Drosophila melanogaster: one gene and its partner. The protein of the gene in region 1 interacts with the protein of each later gene in a pairwise test. Each region holds a gene or a part of one and is shown on either strand. Other genes may lie near its edges.

The links. The genes of interacting proteins can lie anywhere in the genome.
Region 2: the proteins of Shark (region 1) and drpr interact in binary tests that used the Drosophila melanogaster proteins (3 or more experiments, as listed by UniProt).

Annotation. Positions count from the first base shown.
Region 1 is NT_033778.4:16,197,066-16,206,156, reverse strand, and holds Shark (SH2 ankyrin repeat kinase), read left to right. Parts: upstream 1-3,272; 5' UTR 3,273-3,329; coding exon 3,330-3,408; intron 3,409-3,516; coding exon 3,517-4,013; intron 4,014-4,075; coding exon 4,076-4,597; intron 4,598-4,651; coding exon 4,652-5,879; intron 5,880-5,938; coding exon 5,939-6,432; 3' UTR 6,433-6,731; downstream 6,732-9,091. Other genes in the region: mrj, read left to right, coding at 192-256, 338-447, 577-837, 1,126-1,332, 1,403-1,715, 1,776-1,860; Lipt1 (lipoyltransferase 1), read right to left, coding at 6,980-7,150, 7,211-7,672, 7,819-8,376; CG42837 (uncharacterized protein), read right to left, coding at 8,641-8,829. UniProt on the Drosophila melanogaster protein: Following axon injury, required for recruitment of drpr and glial cells to severed axons and for glial clearance of severed axons from the central nervous system.
Region 2 is NT_037436.4:1,726,569-1,734,981, reverse strand, and holds the start of drpr (draper), read left to right. Parts: upstream 1-3,874; 5' UTR 3,875-4,457; intron 4,458-8,413. Other genes in the region: Oseg4 (outer segment 4), read left to right, coding at 1-261, 321-495, 549-1,121, 1,173-1,276, 1,339-1,637, 1,693-3,393, 3,462-3,654. UniProt on the Drosophila melanogaster protein: Receptor which is involved in the phagocytosis of a variety of cells including apoptotic cells, severed and pruned axons, degenerating dendrites, salivary gland cells, germline cells and bacteria.

The sequences.
Region 1 (9,091 bases):
ATATTCCCACATTTTTGGCTCTAATCCCTTGACTAATCATCATCTTCTGTTCCCGTTTTTTTGTTCATATTTTGCAGAAGCAAAAGCCGGAAAAGGATTGGACCAAAAACTAAACGCATTAGATTGCAATTCGTGCTGAAACGATATACAGCGAATAGAGACCACCGAGAACTCGAAGACACATCACCAACATGGTTGACTACTATAAAATTTTGGATGTTTCGCGATCCGCTACCGATAGTGAAGTGAAGAAGGCGTAAGTAAACAAATGACTTTCGAAGTAACACATATCCTCCGGTCAACATATTCGTTTCATCACAACATTCACCACTTGCAGATATCGAAAACTGGCACTAAAATGGCACCCAGACAAGAATCCCGACAACCTGGATGAGGCCAACAAACGCTTCCGCGAGCTGTCCGAAGCCTACGAAGTTCTTTCCGATGGTAAGTGCCTTGCTCAAGCGCAGATTTCTTCGAGCGTCGAAAAACAAAGAAATTTGGGTTGGGTATCACGTGATCCGGATTCGGATGATCCAGGCTGCCTGGCATTAAGTCTTTATATTGTGTATTTAGCACGTAAGCGCAGAATCTACGATGCCCGGGCCACGCTGCACAAATCCTCGAACAGCGGAAGCAGCAGCAGCAACAGCAGCTCCTATACCCGCTATCGCAACGGCGGCACCGGTGGATCGTCGTCCTATGGACGGGACTACGACTACGACTACTATCCGGGCTCGGGGTATGGGTCTGGTTCCGGGCGGCGTTCCGGCAACCGGTACCAGGCCTTCACGTTTCGCAACATTTTCGAGGGCACTCCGTTCCACAAGATGTTCGGTAAAGGCGAGAGGCCAAAAGCGTTGCAATTGTTTCGTTACTTTGGTTTTGCTGACTGACATCCTGGCGCACGTCGTTTTGTTTTTCGTTCGTCATTCTATCTGCAACTAAACGCTGTTTTCGTACAGTGATGGGGGAGCATTCATAAGCATTCATAACCTTTCCCACCACTGTTTCCATGCTAAGTCTAAGCTAATCCTCGCAGCTCGAGCGTTTATTACTAATTAATTGCATTTACTTTCCTGTTGTTTCACACCCAACTTACCATGTACTCCCATTTCTTAACAGAGAAAAAGCGTCGCATATACGATGAGTATGGCAAAGATGGACTGGGCGATCGTGGCCAGAGTCGCTCGCATGCCCGCCACCATTATAGCACACACGATTTCGATGACTTCGATATTTTGGGCGGCTTTCAGTTTGCATTCCGCCCGCCCGAGGAAGTGTTCCGTGAGTTCTTCGGCATCCACTCGCCCTTCGCCGACTTATTCCGAGGTGAGTGTTTTGATGGGATGGGTAAACGTGTGTAGAGAGTGTTCTAACTTTTATGATTATCGTTTTGCAGATGCCAATGGACATTCGAATGGCAGCACAAGCGGCTCGAGTGGCAGTCGACGCAATGGCGGCAGCAGTGGATCATCTCGCCACCATCATCATCACCACCAGCACAAAGTGGCCAGTCCGTTCGGGGCTCCAATGCTTAACTACTCAATGATGGACTTCTTTATGCCCACCAGCGGCTTCACCTCGTTCTCGTCGATGACCCACGGCAATGGCAGCAGCGGTGTCACCCACATCTCCAGCGGACCCGGTGCCAGTGTCAAGCGCACCTCCACTTCGACGGTGTTTGTGAATGGCAAGAAACTGATGACCAAACGGTATGATAAACTCTATCTGGCCATCATAGAATCGTTTCATATCTGCATTTGCATTTTCAGGGTCGTCGAAAACGGCAAGGAAACTGTCTTTTCATATGAAAATGATGTTCTGAAATCAAAGACTGTGATGGGCTCCCTTCAATAGCTAATTAATTAAATTCACACATAATATATATATATATAAATATCAACAAAAATCAACAAAGGAAAAGTCATAAATGTAAAGCCGAATGAATATTAACAAGCCCAAGAAGAACTCGGAATTCGTTACCGCTTCGAAATATGATACTTTTAAAACTTTAAAACTTTGCTCTACACTACAATTTAGTTACTTTTAATGGACCGAACAGCACCATAAATGAATCAACAGCCAGCGAAAGGACCAAGCAAAAATTAATCAACAGCAGAAACACTAACAGCAGCGATATCCACACCAAAAATATGGAACATGGAACAGGCCATTGAATTAAATCAAAATTCCCCGTAATAGCGAAATATGGAAATTTATTTTTTAAGCATAGTTTTTGAACACAGCTGCCCTACAACAAAATTGCACCGGTGGAATAAAGCCAACACCATCGAGCACCACGAGAATTAATGGAAAAACCATACTGAAAATTTAGCCAATAAGTTTTAGGGGCCAGATTTTAAATATGCTGTTCGGAGCGAGTGTGTTTGGGTGTATATCTTTTTGGGGGGGATAATTATGTATTCTTCGTGTATGTATCGTTAGTCACTTAAGTTGCCACAATACTTACTAGGAAATCGAAAGCGGAGAAATTCAATCTAAGCAATGAATCGGAACTAAAATAGGCTTTGCGTTAATTTTTCTTTACATTGTAAGGGATATGAATATGAATATTCTAAACGATGACATTTAATTTTTATAAATATTTCATAACCTAGATTTCTTTATTAATTTCGATGCTGTATGCTAGCGTATAGTCGTTTTTTAAATGCTTAAGACTATTCTCACATAACCTGCAGAGCGAAAAGAAAATTAATCGTAACATAATCGCCAATAATTTAATACTTTGTTAAGCGAAAATTTCATAATGAGAATAAAAAAAAAAACACATGAGAATGAAAATATACAATAGATGCGAAACAATTAAGACAAGTGTTTTATTACTACTTTAAATATAGTTTCATTTAATTAATTCGTTGAATTTCTGCGATGCAAGCTGATCGATGATAATTCTGACATAATATTAAATATTATTATAAATAGGTATTTTTATATAAACAATTATAATCACTTATGCGAGCATTTATATTGATGTATAGAATCAAGTTTTAATTGAACTCGCTTTTAAGTTATTTTTAAATCAGCAATAATGAATAATAAACCATGAAATCTTAAGAGTGAAATTTTAAATTTTCCCGCCAACTCTCTTTGGTTGGCAACGCGACCATCCCCTGGCCGTGCTGCCAACTTTTAGCGTGAAAATTAAAAGAAATTGAAATATCATAAGTAAAAAAGCCAGAATCAAGTGGAAGAAAGCTAAATTGGCAACACTGATCGCTGGCGGTATTTTCCTACGATCCACCAACGATCACACTTCCCCAAAATTATTAACAAAACGCAGCAGGATCGGAGCAAATGGCCCAAAAATGAGTCGCGATAGTGATCCCATGAAATGGTACCACGGCAACCTGTCCCGCGAGGCAGCCGACGAACTGCTAAAGCAGGGTAAGTGCTGGCGCAGGACGCCAATTGGCCTGACATCAGTGATGATCGCTGGGATGTGGGCGTGGTGGAGCACAATGATGGGTAATTGGTATGGCAATCAATCAACAGGTTACGAGGACGGGACATTTCTGGTGCGCGAGAGCAGCACAGCGGCCGGGGACTTTGTGCTGAGCCTGCTCTGCCAGGGTGAGGTGTGTCACTACCAGGTGCGGCGACATGGCGGCGAGGACGCCTTCTTCTCCATCGACGACAAGGTACAGACGAAGATACTGCACGGCCTGGACACGCTCGTCGACTACTATCAGCAGGCGGCCAATGGTCTGCCCACCAAGCTGACGGTGCCCTTGATCCGCGATCTGCCGCCGCACAACACTCGCAGCCACGGAGTGACCAATCTGCTGCATCGCGCCACAAGCAAAAACGAGAGCAAGGTCGTCTTCGAGCTGCTCAAGTGCGGCTATCGGAATTTCGATGCCAAGAATCAGGATGGACAGACGGCTCTGCATCTGGCTGCCCTCCACTCGGACGAGGATATACTGAAACACCTGTTGAATGCAAAGGTCCAGGTCAACAGCTCCGACTCCTTTGGCTGCCAGCCATTGCACGTAGGTTTACCCACGCACAACTATGCATAAAGCTCCCTATAACCATACACTTACATTCGTAGTACGCCGCTCGCTCCAAACCGGCCAGTTTCATACGCACACTCATCTCGGCACAGGCCAATGTCCAGGGCAGGAACATCGACAACGGCTATGTGCCGCTGCATGAGGCTGCCAAGCACGGCAACCTGGAGGCTGTGCAAGAGCTGCTCCTGGCTGAGGCTCCGCCGTTGCCCAGAACAAGTTCGGGTGAATTTCCATTCGATCTGGCCAAGGAAGCGGGCCAAACGGCAGTAGAAGAATTCCTGCTCAACTACAAGCTCCCACCGGCGAATACCACAAGAGACCAGTGGTATCATGGCACTCTGACCAGAGAAGAGGCAGTAGCCATACTAAAAAAGCATGCCAAGGAGCTATTGGCCAAGCAACCTGAAGTAGACACCTCCGGCTGCTTTCTGGTTCGCTACTCCGAGTCGCCGGCGGCCTCGGGGTTGGTTTTAACATTGCTTTGTGATCAGGTGGTCAAGAATTTTCGTATTTCGCAAGCTGATCTCTACCAGAATGGTAACAAGGTGCAGTCGGGCGGGGTAAGTTATCACCGTACTTTAAATGTTCTCTTTAAAGTAACCTCTGTTTTGCAGTCCAAGTTTCTGTACATTGATGACGGTCCCTACTGGCCAAGCGTGGAACATCTAATAGCCCACTTCATGCGTTTCTCGTACGGGTTGCCAGTGAGTCTCAAGTATCCGGTTCCGCCACAGCCCAAGCCAGAGGTGCCATCGTTTGCCACAATACCTCGATCTAATATGAAGCCAAAAGCAGCATCGCCCGCTACCCCGCCCACTCCAGTATCGCCACATTCGCATCATCAACACCCCCACGTTCCCGCCCTGACCATAACGAAGAAAAAGCAGAAGGAGAACAGTAGCTCAATGTTCAACACTCTGCGACTGACGAGTCCGAAGAAAGCGCTATTCGACATGAACAGCCTGCGCAAAAACAAGTCCAAGGGCAAACGCAGTGACTCCGAGAGCAGTGTGAGTGGTTCTTTGGCCGGAACGGAGCAGGAGCTGCAGGCAGCGGCACCCATGCTGAAGAGCCTGTCGTTCTCGACGGAGTTCTCAACGTTTAACGCGGATGGCGTAACTGGTTCTGGTGCCGCCGCTGCTGGCGAAGTGTACAACGTGCCCAGGAACAACACGCCCATTGAGATTGACCTGCCACCGATTGCCCAAAAGACTGAAGCCGAAGTTGAGTATTTCACGAAAAGTGATGTGGCCATAGAGCGCGAGCGAGCAGGTCAGTGGATCGGCAACGGCTACCAGCCCACAATGGACGTGCTATCCCTGTTGGATCAGCAGATCAAGGCGCCCGCCGTGGCGCGACTAAACTCGCTTGGTCCGAACGCATCAACGGAAAGTGAGATGGCCAGCTATCTTCATCGCAAGTGCAGCGGTACGCCAAGCACACCAAGCGCCACTGAGGTGGAGGCCGCCAAGCTGAGATTCTTTATTGAGCCAGAAAAACTAGTGCTGGATAGAGAGATCGGGCACGGGGAATTCGGTTCGGTGCACAGTGGATGGCTGCTGAGAAAGAGCGGTGCCGGCGAGGAATCGCGCTTGGAGGTGGCCATTAAGATGCTTAGCGACGAGCACAGCAACAAACAGGAGTTCCTGCGCGAAGCATCAGTTATGATGCGGCTGGAGCACAAGTGCATTGTGCGATTGATTGGCATTGCGAAGGGTGAAATGCTAATGATGGTTCAAGAGCTAGCTCCGTTGGGCTCCATGCTGCAGTACATACTGGATCATGGTCATGAGATCACGGCCAATGCGGAGCTGAAAGTTTGGGCGTCACAGATTGCGTGTGGTAAGTCAAATTCAAGACAATTTGATTCAATTCAATTAATTAATTAATGTTTGTACCAGGCATGCATTATCTGGAATCACAGCATTTTGTACACCGCGATCTGGCCGCCAGAAATATATTGCTGACCGCACGCCACCAGGCGAAGATCAGTGACTTCGGCATGTCGCGATCACTGAGACCCGGTAGCACGGAATACCAATTCACCCAGGGCGGACGTTGGCCCATCCGCTGGTACGCACCGGAAAGCTTCAACCTGGGCATCTTCTCGCACGCCAGTGATGTGTGGTCCTTTGGCGTGACCATCTGGGAGATGTTTTCCCTCGGCGCACCGCCATATGGGGAAATATCTAATGTCGATGCCATCAAGTTGGTGGACAGTGGCGAACGCCTGCCGCAGCCCAATCTCTGTCCAGCTTACATCTATGCCGTGATGCAGAGCTGCTGGAAGGAACGACCCAAAGATCGGCCAACCTTTGTCTATCTCACCGAGTTTTTCGCCCGCGATCCTGATTACCAAAACCTGCCGGAATTGGTGCAAACGGTTCACATTTAAGCCAGTTTCCATTTTCCATTTTTTCCGTTCTGAGTGCAATTTTCTGTAGCTATTTATGCAATGTCTTCTATTTCGTTTTCAACGTATTAACGATCTGGAACCCACAGATCACTATTGTTGTTCCGTATCCTAGTATTCATGTTTATAGCTTGTAATATATTTTTTAATCATATGTACAACCAATTTGTGTCAAAAGAAAGCGAACAAGTGCCTTAAAGATTTAGCATATAAGCTTTGTATTCATTTTTACAAATCCATTTTGTTTCATTGGTTATACAAAATAAAAACTATTTTTATACATACTGCGCTTTTTGATTTAGTATTAAATAATACAGCAGTATGCTTTAATAATCAATGTTTAAACATTTAATGCAGTTCTTTTATATAAAACGTGGTAACAAAAGTAAATAGTTTGTTGGTAAACCGCTTAAATACTAGGTTAGTAATATGGTTTCTTGGAAAGATTATAACTACGTTAGCGTGGTTAGTGCTCTAGAAATGGATTATATATTTTTTTGTTAATTTTTTCGAGCTAGCACAACAGTAATCAAGCTGATCCGTTTATTGCCTGCTTCACATTCGATGCGCTGACGAGCTTAAGGGCGCCAAGTATTCCGTTCAGGTTCTCCTCGTTGTAGGGCTTGCCCTGGAGCGGAGTCACCACCGGGACGAGCTGATCGCTCTGCGGCAGCTGGATGCCGATCTCCTTCATTAATCCCTACAAATTTAGTAAAATCATAAGTGATAATTCTCTAAAACAGGGCAAAACAAATCTTACCGCTTCCACTTCCACGCTTAGTTTCAGTTTCATGTCCTGCTCATCGCCCTTCACCTCCAGTTCCTTCTGCACGGTGAACTTGGGAGTCTTGCCGATGACCCAGTCCCAAGAGCTGTAGTTGGAGCGCAATTCCTCAATGCCGGGGAACCATTTCTCTGTGGGATTGACCAGCTGAAAGCCGCGCTGCTGCATCGTCTGTGTGCTGCCGCCGTCTTCAAGCGTAGTTGCAGCCGTTCTCAAATACTCGTAACCCACGGCGGAACGCAGCTGAGCAACGTTCACCGTGCGATTGACATCAACCAGGTTGCGAATGGGCGACGGCACCGAAGCCGTGGCCTTGCTAATATAATTGGCCGGCTCCCGCACCAGAGATTCGCCCAAGTGCAATTTGTTGGCGCTGGCCAAAATGGTGCAGTGATGGTACGAGTTCGGGTGTCCCAGCTTGGCCGCAGTGCCGGAAATCTGTAATTGAACAAGGGCATACTCGTTGAGTGGGCAAATAAAGACCAGATGCACAGCCCCAGCTGTTGGTTAAGTGAGCTGATGCCAATGTGAGGGATCAGCCGGGGTCGCATCATTCCTTGATAAGAGCCACCGCTCCTCCTCACCTTCTTATTCATCACTACAATGTCGTCGCGCTCATTTATCTCTGCCTTGATGGCCCATTCGCGGAACAAGGCCCTGGTCACGATGTTCAGGTTGTACTTGCGATCGTAGCGCTCTCTGGGCGAGAAAAAGGTGCAGTTGAGGTTCCCAAGATCATGGTACACCGCTCCACCGCCACTATTGCGGCGTGCAAGTGTTATGCCGCGTTCCACCAGCTGCGAAACATTAGCCTCGGTGAAGGGATTCTGGTGGCGACCAATGACTACGCACGGGTCGTTGGCCCACAGCAGCAGCACATGGTGGCGGCTGAAATCAAAGTTTTTGTACAGCCAATCCTCTAGAGCGAGGTTGGTGAACACATCGCTGGACTGCGAGATGAACACGGACTTCTTGATCTCCGAATCGGGAACCACGGGCGGTGGCTGGCGCCTCTGCTTTTTAATCTCCTGCTGTCCAGCAGATGGTGGCTCCACTCCGCTGGATGCCAGGCGCGTGGCCTGAGCGGCGGAGGAGAGAAGTAGCCGCAGCTGGCTGGAATTGCGTCGCAACAGCATGCTCATGGCTTACACAAGGAAGTGGGGCGTACGGGTGTGTGTGATTTCTGTTGCCAGGTGATCTGGGACACAATGCACTTGCAAGCGAAACAAGGTCAATGGTGTCGAAAAAAGCTTTTGGCTGGTTGATTGGTTGGTTGGTTGGTTGGTTTCTACGGTTGTCGTCTGCCTGGTTCTGTGTGGTCCGTGTGTGCTCTTCTTTAGGTTATGTATGGTCTACTATCTACGCTATTCGTTTTGGTCTTTAAATGGCTTTGGTCGCTCTGGACTTTAGACTGTGGCGTTCTTAGTGGCTCGGGATGTGTTTGCAGCCACGGAGCTGGCCGAGATGAGGTATTCGTGCAGGGCGGGCGTCTGATGCAGCCACTTCCACGTTTGATGCAGACCACAGACACGCTTACGGAGACCCAGGCAGTCCTTGTTGGCACAGTTCACTGGCATACTACGCCTCACACCCATCCAGGTGGGGGATACAACGAATCCGGTGTTTACGGGGGGCCGCAACGTTACGGGGCCCAAATAAGATGGCTAAAGGGTTTCCTTTTTAGCTGACACCAAAATTTTCCACTCTTTGTTCGCGGCGCACGGGAACTGCGGGGGGCGGGGGCAAGGCGGATGATCGCAGTGGGCGGGGGTAGCAGTTATAGCACAAACAAACGAACGAACACAGAGCCGATCGAAAAGCAGCTGCGCGTGTGGAAATATCACGACCGATTGGCTT
Region 2 (8,413 bases), on another chromosome or scaffold:
TCCTGGTACGAGGAGATGACCAACGACAGAAAGAAGTCCACGGTGGCCAGCATGAGCTGGACGTCGGACGGATCGCGGATCTGCATCGTCTATGAGGATGGGGCGATTATAGTGGGCTCAGTGGATGGCAACCGCATCTTTGGCAAGGAGCTGAAGGGCACCCATCTGACTGGCGTGCAGTGGAGTCCGGACAATCGGCTAATCCTCTTTGCGCTGGCCAACGGGGAGTGTCATCTGTACGATAACCAAGGCAACTTTGCTGTAAGTTAGTACTTGATTATCCTTCATACTTACCCACTTTGGTTGGTTATGTACTCCAGATGAAGCTGCACATCCAGTGCGTGAACATAAGTGGCGGCTCCTCCTCCAGAGGTCACCGCATAGCCAGCATCTGCTGGTTCAGTGGCAGGGTCGTCCAGAGTCGAAAGCGTCCAGTTCTGGCCATTTGCTATGAGAACGGAAGGGTGCAGATCATGAGGAACGAAAATGACGACGGTAGGAGGTGATGCAAGCTCTAGAGTCTCCTAACTAACCCACATGACTTTTAGCACCCGCAATCTTCGACACTGGGATGCGCAATGTGGACGCCAAGTGGAACCATGATGGCACTGTGTTGGCCATTTGTGGCACCACCTTGGACGCGGTAAGTCCGACTTCGCAGCGCGACACCAACCAGGTGTGCTTCTACTCGCCGCTGGGCAAGATCTACCGCACTCTGAAGGTGCCTGGCACCGACATCACCTCGCTTAGCTGGGAGGGCAAATCGCTGCGCATCGCCATGGCCGTGGATTCGTTCATCTACTTCGCCAACATCCGACCGGACTACATCTGGTGTTACTTCGAGAAGACTGTGGTGTTCCTGAACAGCGGCAGTGCAACCAGGGAGTCGCCCATGAGCGTGATCACCTTCTGGAACACCGTCTCAAATCAGAGTTTCCTCAAGGAGGTGGAGCCCACCTTGTGCCTGGCGTCCAGCAGCGAGCATTGCGTCCTGGGCGTCGAGTGTGTCAGCAGCAACATCAAGGAGATTGCGCTGAGCACCCTGGAGAACCGAAGTAATCCTGCGGACGATAGGGTCTACCAGTTGCTCCTCTGCAATTCAATTGGCACCACCGTGGATTGTGAGTAGATCACCGTTGTTGATGTTTCGGACTAATCCCAGTTATTTTTAGCCAAGTACACGGATATTAGACCCTGCTTTGTGGGCATCAACTCGAGCTATGTGGCCATAGCGTCCCAGGAGGAGATTCTAATTTGGCACTACCACACACCCAAGGTGGGCACTTTCAGTCATCAACCTGGTTACCAATTGACTAACCCCCATTGATCTCCCTTCAGAGTGCCTCCACCCTGCACAATGTGAAGGCGCGCAAGGAGAAGCGGTTCCATATCGACGACACGCCCACGGGAGTGGAAATGGCCAAGGACCTGATGCTGAGCAGTAGCAGTGGCGATGGTCACTCCACGCAGCGGGGAATCAGTGATCCCATCTGTGCGCTGGCACTCTCCGAGAAGCTGCTCCTTGTCGCCAGGGAATCCGGCGCTATCAACGAGTACAGCATAGCAAACGTGGCTCTGAGGAACCGCCACCTGATGAACGCCAAGGTCTACAAGATGGCTATCAACTGCAATTCCACGTGGGTAGTCCACCACACTCCCTTGATACTAGTAATATTTATACTCCTTACTTAGACGAGCCGCCATTATCGACCATATGGGCGTGATGACCCTGCTCGACCTGGACGACAACAGGGAGACCCAACTGAACTTCAGTCGGGTGGAGCGCAAGGACGTTTGGGCCGTGAGCTGGGCCACGGATAACCCACTGCTGCTGGCTCTGATGGAGAAAACGCGCATGTATATCTTCCGGGGCAATGATCCCGAGGAGCCCGTGTCCTGCTCCGGCTACATATGCACCTTCGAGGACTTGGAGATCACCAGTGTCCTGCTGGACGACATAATCAGCGTGGGTGAGCTGCAGAATTTTTCGCATATCATTCAGCTGAGGGTAAAGTCCCTGCGCGATACCGACGATCTACTGGAGCACGTGGGACTGGAGGATGCCAAGCAGTTCATTGAGGACAACCCGCATCCGAGGCTCTGGCGACTGCTGGCGGAGTCTGCGTTGAAGAAACTGGAACTGGAGACGGCGGAGAACGCCTTTGTCCGTTGTGCCCACTACCCGGGCATTAAGTTGGTCAAGAGACTGCGCACCATACACTCCAAGGAGCTGCAGAGGGCGGAGATATCAGCCTTCTACGGAGAGTTCGAGGAGGCGGAGAAGCTCTACCTGGACGCGGATCGTCGCGATCTGGCCATAGAGCTGCGCATGACCCTTTGCGATTGGTTTCGCGTGGTGCAGCTGTACAGAATGGGAGGATCGGGAGTGTCGGACCAGCAGATGGAGATCGCTTGGCGGGAGATTGGCCACCACTTCGCCAACCTGCGCTCCTGGGAGAGTGCCAGGGAATACTACGAGAAGTCCCACTACCTGGAGGGTTACATGGAGGCTCTGTACCACTTGGAGCAGTTCGACGACTTGGAAAAGTGCGTGGAACGGCTACCGGAGAAGAGCCCGCTGCTTCCGAAGCTGGCCGAGATGCTGGCCTCCGTGGGCATGTGCTCCGAGGCTGTTCAAGCCCATCTTCGATTCGGCGACCAGAAGGCCGCCGTCGCCACCTGCGTTAATCTCCGGCAGTGGGGCGAGGCTGTTGAGCTGGCCCAGAGGTTCCAGCTGCCCCAGGTGCAAACGCTCATAGCCAAGCACGCGGCACAGTTGCTCCAGGAGGGACGCCTCAAGGAAGCCATCGAGATGCAGCGGAATGCTGGGCGTCATCTAGATGCAGCTCGCCTGCTTTCTCAAATGGCGGAACGGGAGCAAGAGAAGCGTGCTCCGCTGCTGAGAATCAAGAAGCTGTACGTGCTGGCTGCTCTGCTGGCCGAGGAGCACCTCAAGGCTGTGGCCACGACGGAGATCGACTACGCCAGCGGCAGGAACACCCTACTGGACTCCATTGCCCTGGAGGATGCGGCCGCCATCGAGAGGCTTTGGCACTGCGCCGAGGCCTACCACTTCATGCTCCTAGCCCAGAGGCAGCTTCGCTTCGGGATCGTCCACAGTGCGGTGGTCACTGCGGTGAGGCTGCGCGACTACGAGGACGTCCTGCCTCCAGAGCACATCTACAGCCTGTTGGCACTGGCCAGCTGTGCGGATCGGGCCTTCGGAACCTGCTCCAAGGCTTTCATGAAGTTGGAGCAACAGGCTCATCTTCCCGAGGCTACCCTTCAACGGTACGAGGAGTTGGCGGCTGGGATCTTCGCCAAGTACGATCCGGAGGACACCACTGGCGATAGGGTGGATTGCTATTCCTGCGGAGTGCCCGTGCCAGATAGGTAAGTGAAGGGTCGACGTCAGAAGCTGGATTATAATGATGATACTCATGGAATGCCGATCCTTTCAGCTCCCCCTCCTGCCCCGAGTGCAATGCTCGCTTCCCGGCGTGCATCTCCTCCGGGAAACCCATCACCCAGCCGACGAACAACATATGGATCTGTACCACCTGCCACCACTGCGCAGCTCCCACCGAGATCTCCAGGCACCGAACTTGCCCACTGTGCCACAGTTTGATCGTGTCCATGACGGTGGAGATCTGAAATGAGCGGGGACTAGTGTTTTAATTACTCCAGCTGTTTTTCATTCTGCTTATCCCAGGTGGTACAGGCGTATCTACTCCGCAAATAAACAATGTAGTTTTAAGATAGAATTCAAATTTATTTTCAAGTGAAAAGTGTTATAAGTGGAAAGAGTGACTGTTCACAGTGAGTATTTCCTGGGGAGTGCGCTAGGGCCACACTACTAGCTCATCCAACACTCGCAAAGCGGTCACACTGGCGAGTGCAGCTAAGTAAGTCGGTTGTCCGTTTCTTGCTGAATTTTAAATAAGTTAAATAAATTTCTGCTTCGTGCGGTGGTGTGCGTACGCAAATATAAAATAAAGTAAATAGTAATTGCGGTGCTTGCGAAAACCAAACGAGCTCCAATTGACCGACGAAAATACTTAAGTGCATTAAAGAATTGCGTTGTTGTGCGTCGCGCCCGTTTGTCCTTATTGTTGTCGTTAGTGGAGTGCACGAAAAGTAATTGTTTTTATTTAAAGAGGTTGCATTTTAATTGCTAAATCAGCTCAGTTGCGAGTAGAGTGCCAAAATAGAGAGTAGCGACAACGAAAACAAGTTTTTGTGGATGGTGAGAAAGTAAAAACAATAGCAAATTTATATATATAGCTATATATATATGTGGTAAGGTGCTGTAAGCATTTAAAAATACAAATCCTCTCGAGGTTTTAATGGCCAAAGTTTCGTAAACGTGTAAATTGAGTGGAATTCGATTGCGAGTGCATTCTTGGTTTGTTTTGAGTGAGAACCGAAAACCAGTTTACACCGTGCTTCTTGCCAAGGTGAGTTTTAACCCCAATCGTGGCAGTTTAACGTTAATTTTAGTCATTGTTATGTTGTTAAAAATAAGTTTTCTTCTGTTAAATGTGCAATTTCGCCTGGTTAGCTTTGTCAGCTCTCTTTCCCTTCCACCTTTCTTCTTTCCCAACGAGCGGTTTGTTTATGACCGCAGTAGTGCACTTGTGTGCGTGTCAATTAGCGCTTTTATCGGGCGCACACCAAGAACAGTTAAACCTGTTCTGGTTTCTCTTTCGCACAATTTAATGGCCTTTCTTTGGCTTTAGTTTTGCGCTTTCGTCGACTTCTTCTTCTTTGTATCTCATGCATGTATCTTTATATCTGTCATTCGGGGAATTGGCAGCAAATCGGCAAACTTCTCTTTCATCGACCCCCTGCGACCAGCACCTCGCTCCCTGGAAACCCGCATCTTGTGGATTCTTTCCAGTTTCCAGATTGCTGCTGAAGCTTCCAGCTGTCACAGCCGCAACAACAACAACGCCAACGGATCAAATGAAAACCCAGCCAGCATAAACTCACACACATCGAAATTGCCTAACTAACGCACACATTAAAATACAGTCGATGCATCGTCACGAAAATAAATAACAATAATAGCCGTTTATAATTTAGATCAAGTCGCAAAAAATTTTTTTGCGTTTAATTCTTTATGAGTACTGATTAAGGTATCAGTTCAGCGATATTTCATATTACTTCTGAATATGGGGGTGCACACAAATTAAGATATATGTAGAAACCGTTCTTATTTTTTATAGAATTCATTAAATAAGTATGGAATAAACTGCGATCATATTTCCCATACAAAGCATTTTTATTTTTCACACAGTTTCCTTAACCAAGCGATTTTAAGCTTAACCTTATATTTCTGACACTGGCAATGGAACTTGATTTTTATTATCATACGTGATTTAATGAACAATGACGCCTGCTTAGGACACGAGCTTCGAAATGCAATGCACAGCGAAAAGTCCCACAAGCCATTGCAAAATTAAAAACTGAAATGGCACTCAGAGGTGCACTCTCCCCACCCTCGGTATCATATCATATCATACCATGCCGTACATGTCACAATGTCTGTTTAGGTTCCTTTATGGAGCCGGGCTTTGTCGTCGCCATGATTACTCAGCTTTATTGATAATGCTGGGTGGAGGAGTGGCAGGGAGTGGCTGGGATGAAACCTCCTGGGATTTCTTGTCCAATGTGGCGGTGGTTAGAGAGCAACCCATGAGTCGGGATGTTAGTTTTCCCCTTATGATTACGACATTCTCTGTTCTCTATCTTTTCGCTTTGGGTTTGCATTATCCAACATTTTTCTTTGCTTTCTCCGTATTGTTGCAAGTGCATTTCGCTTTTGCTGATGATTATGCTTAATTCTTGTTCGTCTGTCTGCATTGCAATGTGTGGGTGCCTTTCCACTAGAATAATATACACATGTTTTCTTGGTTTTCAGCTGAAATCGGTTCTCTTCGCTGAATCAATCGAGAAAGCTTCTAGCTCTATCCAAATTCGGGCTAGAAATCCGAGCTTCGCCCGCTAATTGGCCAATACAAACTGAGGTGTTGAGTGTTTGGCTCACTTGTGAAATGAATACGAAACAGCTGAAATCACTGTTTCTCACTGATACTTCATAATGGCAGCTAACATCCATCCCAAAATAATAACGTTTGAGAACCCTTTGCCTCTTTGCTTTAATTAAACTGTTCACTGAAAGTTTTGATTGGCCTAGCATTTACGTAGTTCACAAATGTAAGACCCTAGACCTCGTGCAAACTGATATTCTTTCAATAATTTCATTTCCTGGGCCAGAACAACTTGTTTTTATACCAAATCTATTTCTTGCCATTGAAATCGTTTATTATTCTTAATAATCGTTTTTGCCAAATGTGCTTTGTCGCCTCGCCAAGGCGTTAAATTGCCCACTGAACGCCAAACATATGCGTTGCGGTTATTGGAGATGTGTATTGTGGATTCAGTAAACTCGACTTTGATTTCGCTATCCAAAGTACAGCTCAAGTGAGGGCTCCTCCTTTGTAGAATAATTCTGTTTATATAAAGCGGGAAGCGACAATCTTTGTTTAGCCTTTATCAAGTGCGCAGTACTTGAAGTTGGGGGAATAGCTGGCTCATTTTCCCCCTATGCTTAAGATTATAGTAATCCAAGTCAAATCCAGATGTTTACATATGCACTGTGCTGAATCAATTGAAAATACATCACAAAATATATACACACAACTTGAAGAATATAAGACCTACTCTTAGCTCTGATGGAGGTTTAATTGGAACGAAAATAGGCAATGCTTATACTTTATAAAATACATATCATTCTAATTGAATGAAATAGACGAATGCCATTGAGTTTTTTTAACAACAAAGCTTTCTCCTTAGTCCGAAAGTATTTCGCAGATTTTCTTTGGTTTGTTTTTGTTTTGTTTTTTTCTTTCGAAAGCTTTCATCGAAAATCAGGAAATTAGTCATATATAAGTACCTACATATGTATACATTATAGACAGATTGCCAGCGGAAACGGACTCGCAACTTACTTCTAATCAATCTTCTATTACCTTTGCTAACATTTTATGGTTCTCCCTCAACTTTTCGTTGACCCCTTCCGATTAAGAACCACTATCAGTGTGCCTCATCGTGTTGTTTCTGCTTGTCCAATACTGGGCGCAGATAAGGGCGAGGTATGATAAATATGAGGTGTGCCAAAAGTACACACATATTGGGAAAGGTCTGAAATACAAACCTGCGAATTGAGCGGTAGATTGACCCGAAGTTCGAGCCTTAGCCAGACTTTTGTGAATGAAATCCGAGTGACTCAGCATTGGAACAGATGCTGGGTATGCGGTATCGATGAATGGTGCATGGATTCGATACTCGATAAAACAAACTGTGCCGAACACGTTTTCCATTGAAAAATCTCGCACACTCGCCTATTATACATACAACTAACAGATCCGTATAGTTTATAGACTATAGTCTAGCATTGTTTAACCTAAGGTGACTCATCCACGACATATTCATTTAGCTCATTAAAACACCAATCAGGCATGTAAACAAATAAGTAAATTGCAAATGTAAGCTCGTTGTCTCGTGCAAGTTCGCATTTTAATATGATCTACATATGCGGAAGGGAAGATTGAGTGGCAAAATGAAACTTAATGGCAATGGGTTAGAGTAACACCCTAGTTTATGGTTAATATTTTTGATTCCAAAGGTTTATACTTTGTTTGAAAAACGTGGACTCTGCTAATCGTTAAAATGAAAGATTTAGCATTCAAATTGCAAATTAAATTAGACCGGATTGTTTGGTTCACACGATTTCGTTGTCCATCGTAAATTTGTATGATGTTACGGGATGATTTGGTATTATTCTATTAGTCTTTGTCCATGACCGGATTACGCACCTTCCGTTCCGTGGATCTGCTTATATATAGAGAGACTGAATTAGTCACCTACAACAGAACAAATATCAGTGAACCTCATCGCTGTTGTAATGGATGAGAATGACTGCGGCGGTCTTATCATCCACCCTTATCACTTGTAAAATCTTGAGCAAAGTCGAGGGGTATGCCAAATGGTTATCTCTTTCTACTTTAGGTTATATTGCCCCAGTTGTATATTATCGTTTCGGCTATCTTAAGGATTGTAATATGTATCTAAGAGGGCGAACACATTCACGATCTGCTCTAAAACGTGAACGTTCTATTAACACTGGGTTTCGAACAATTTCTCGTTTAAAATTTATTTGGCGCCGTTGGCAGTTCATCACGCGATTTCTTGCTAATGACGGCCTTGACAAACACCACTTTCTGATGAGTTAAGGGAGCACCTGCCGTGCGATTAAGTGAATCAGATTTCTCGCTGGCAAGAAATGAAACCAACAATTATCTTTGCAATATAAATATAGATTGTGGATCACGACAATCCCCCAGTTAAT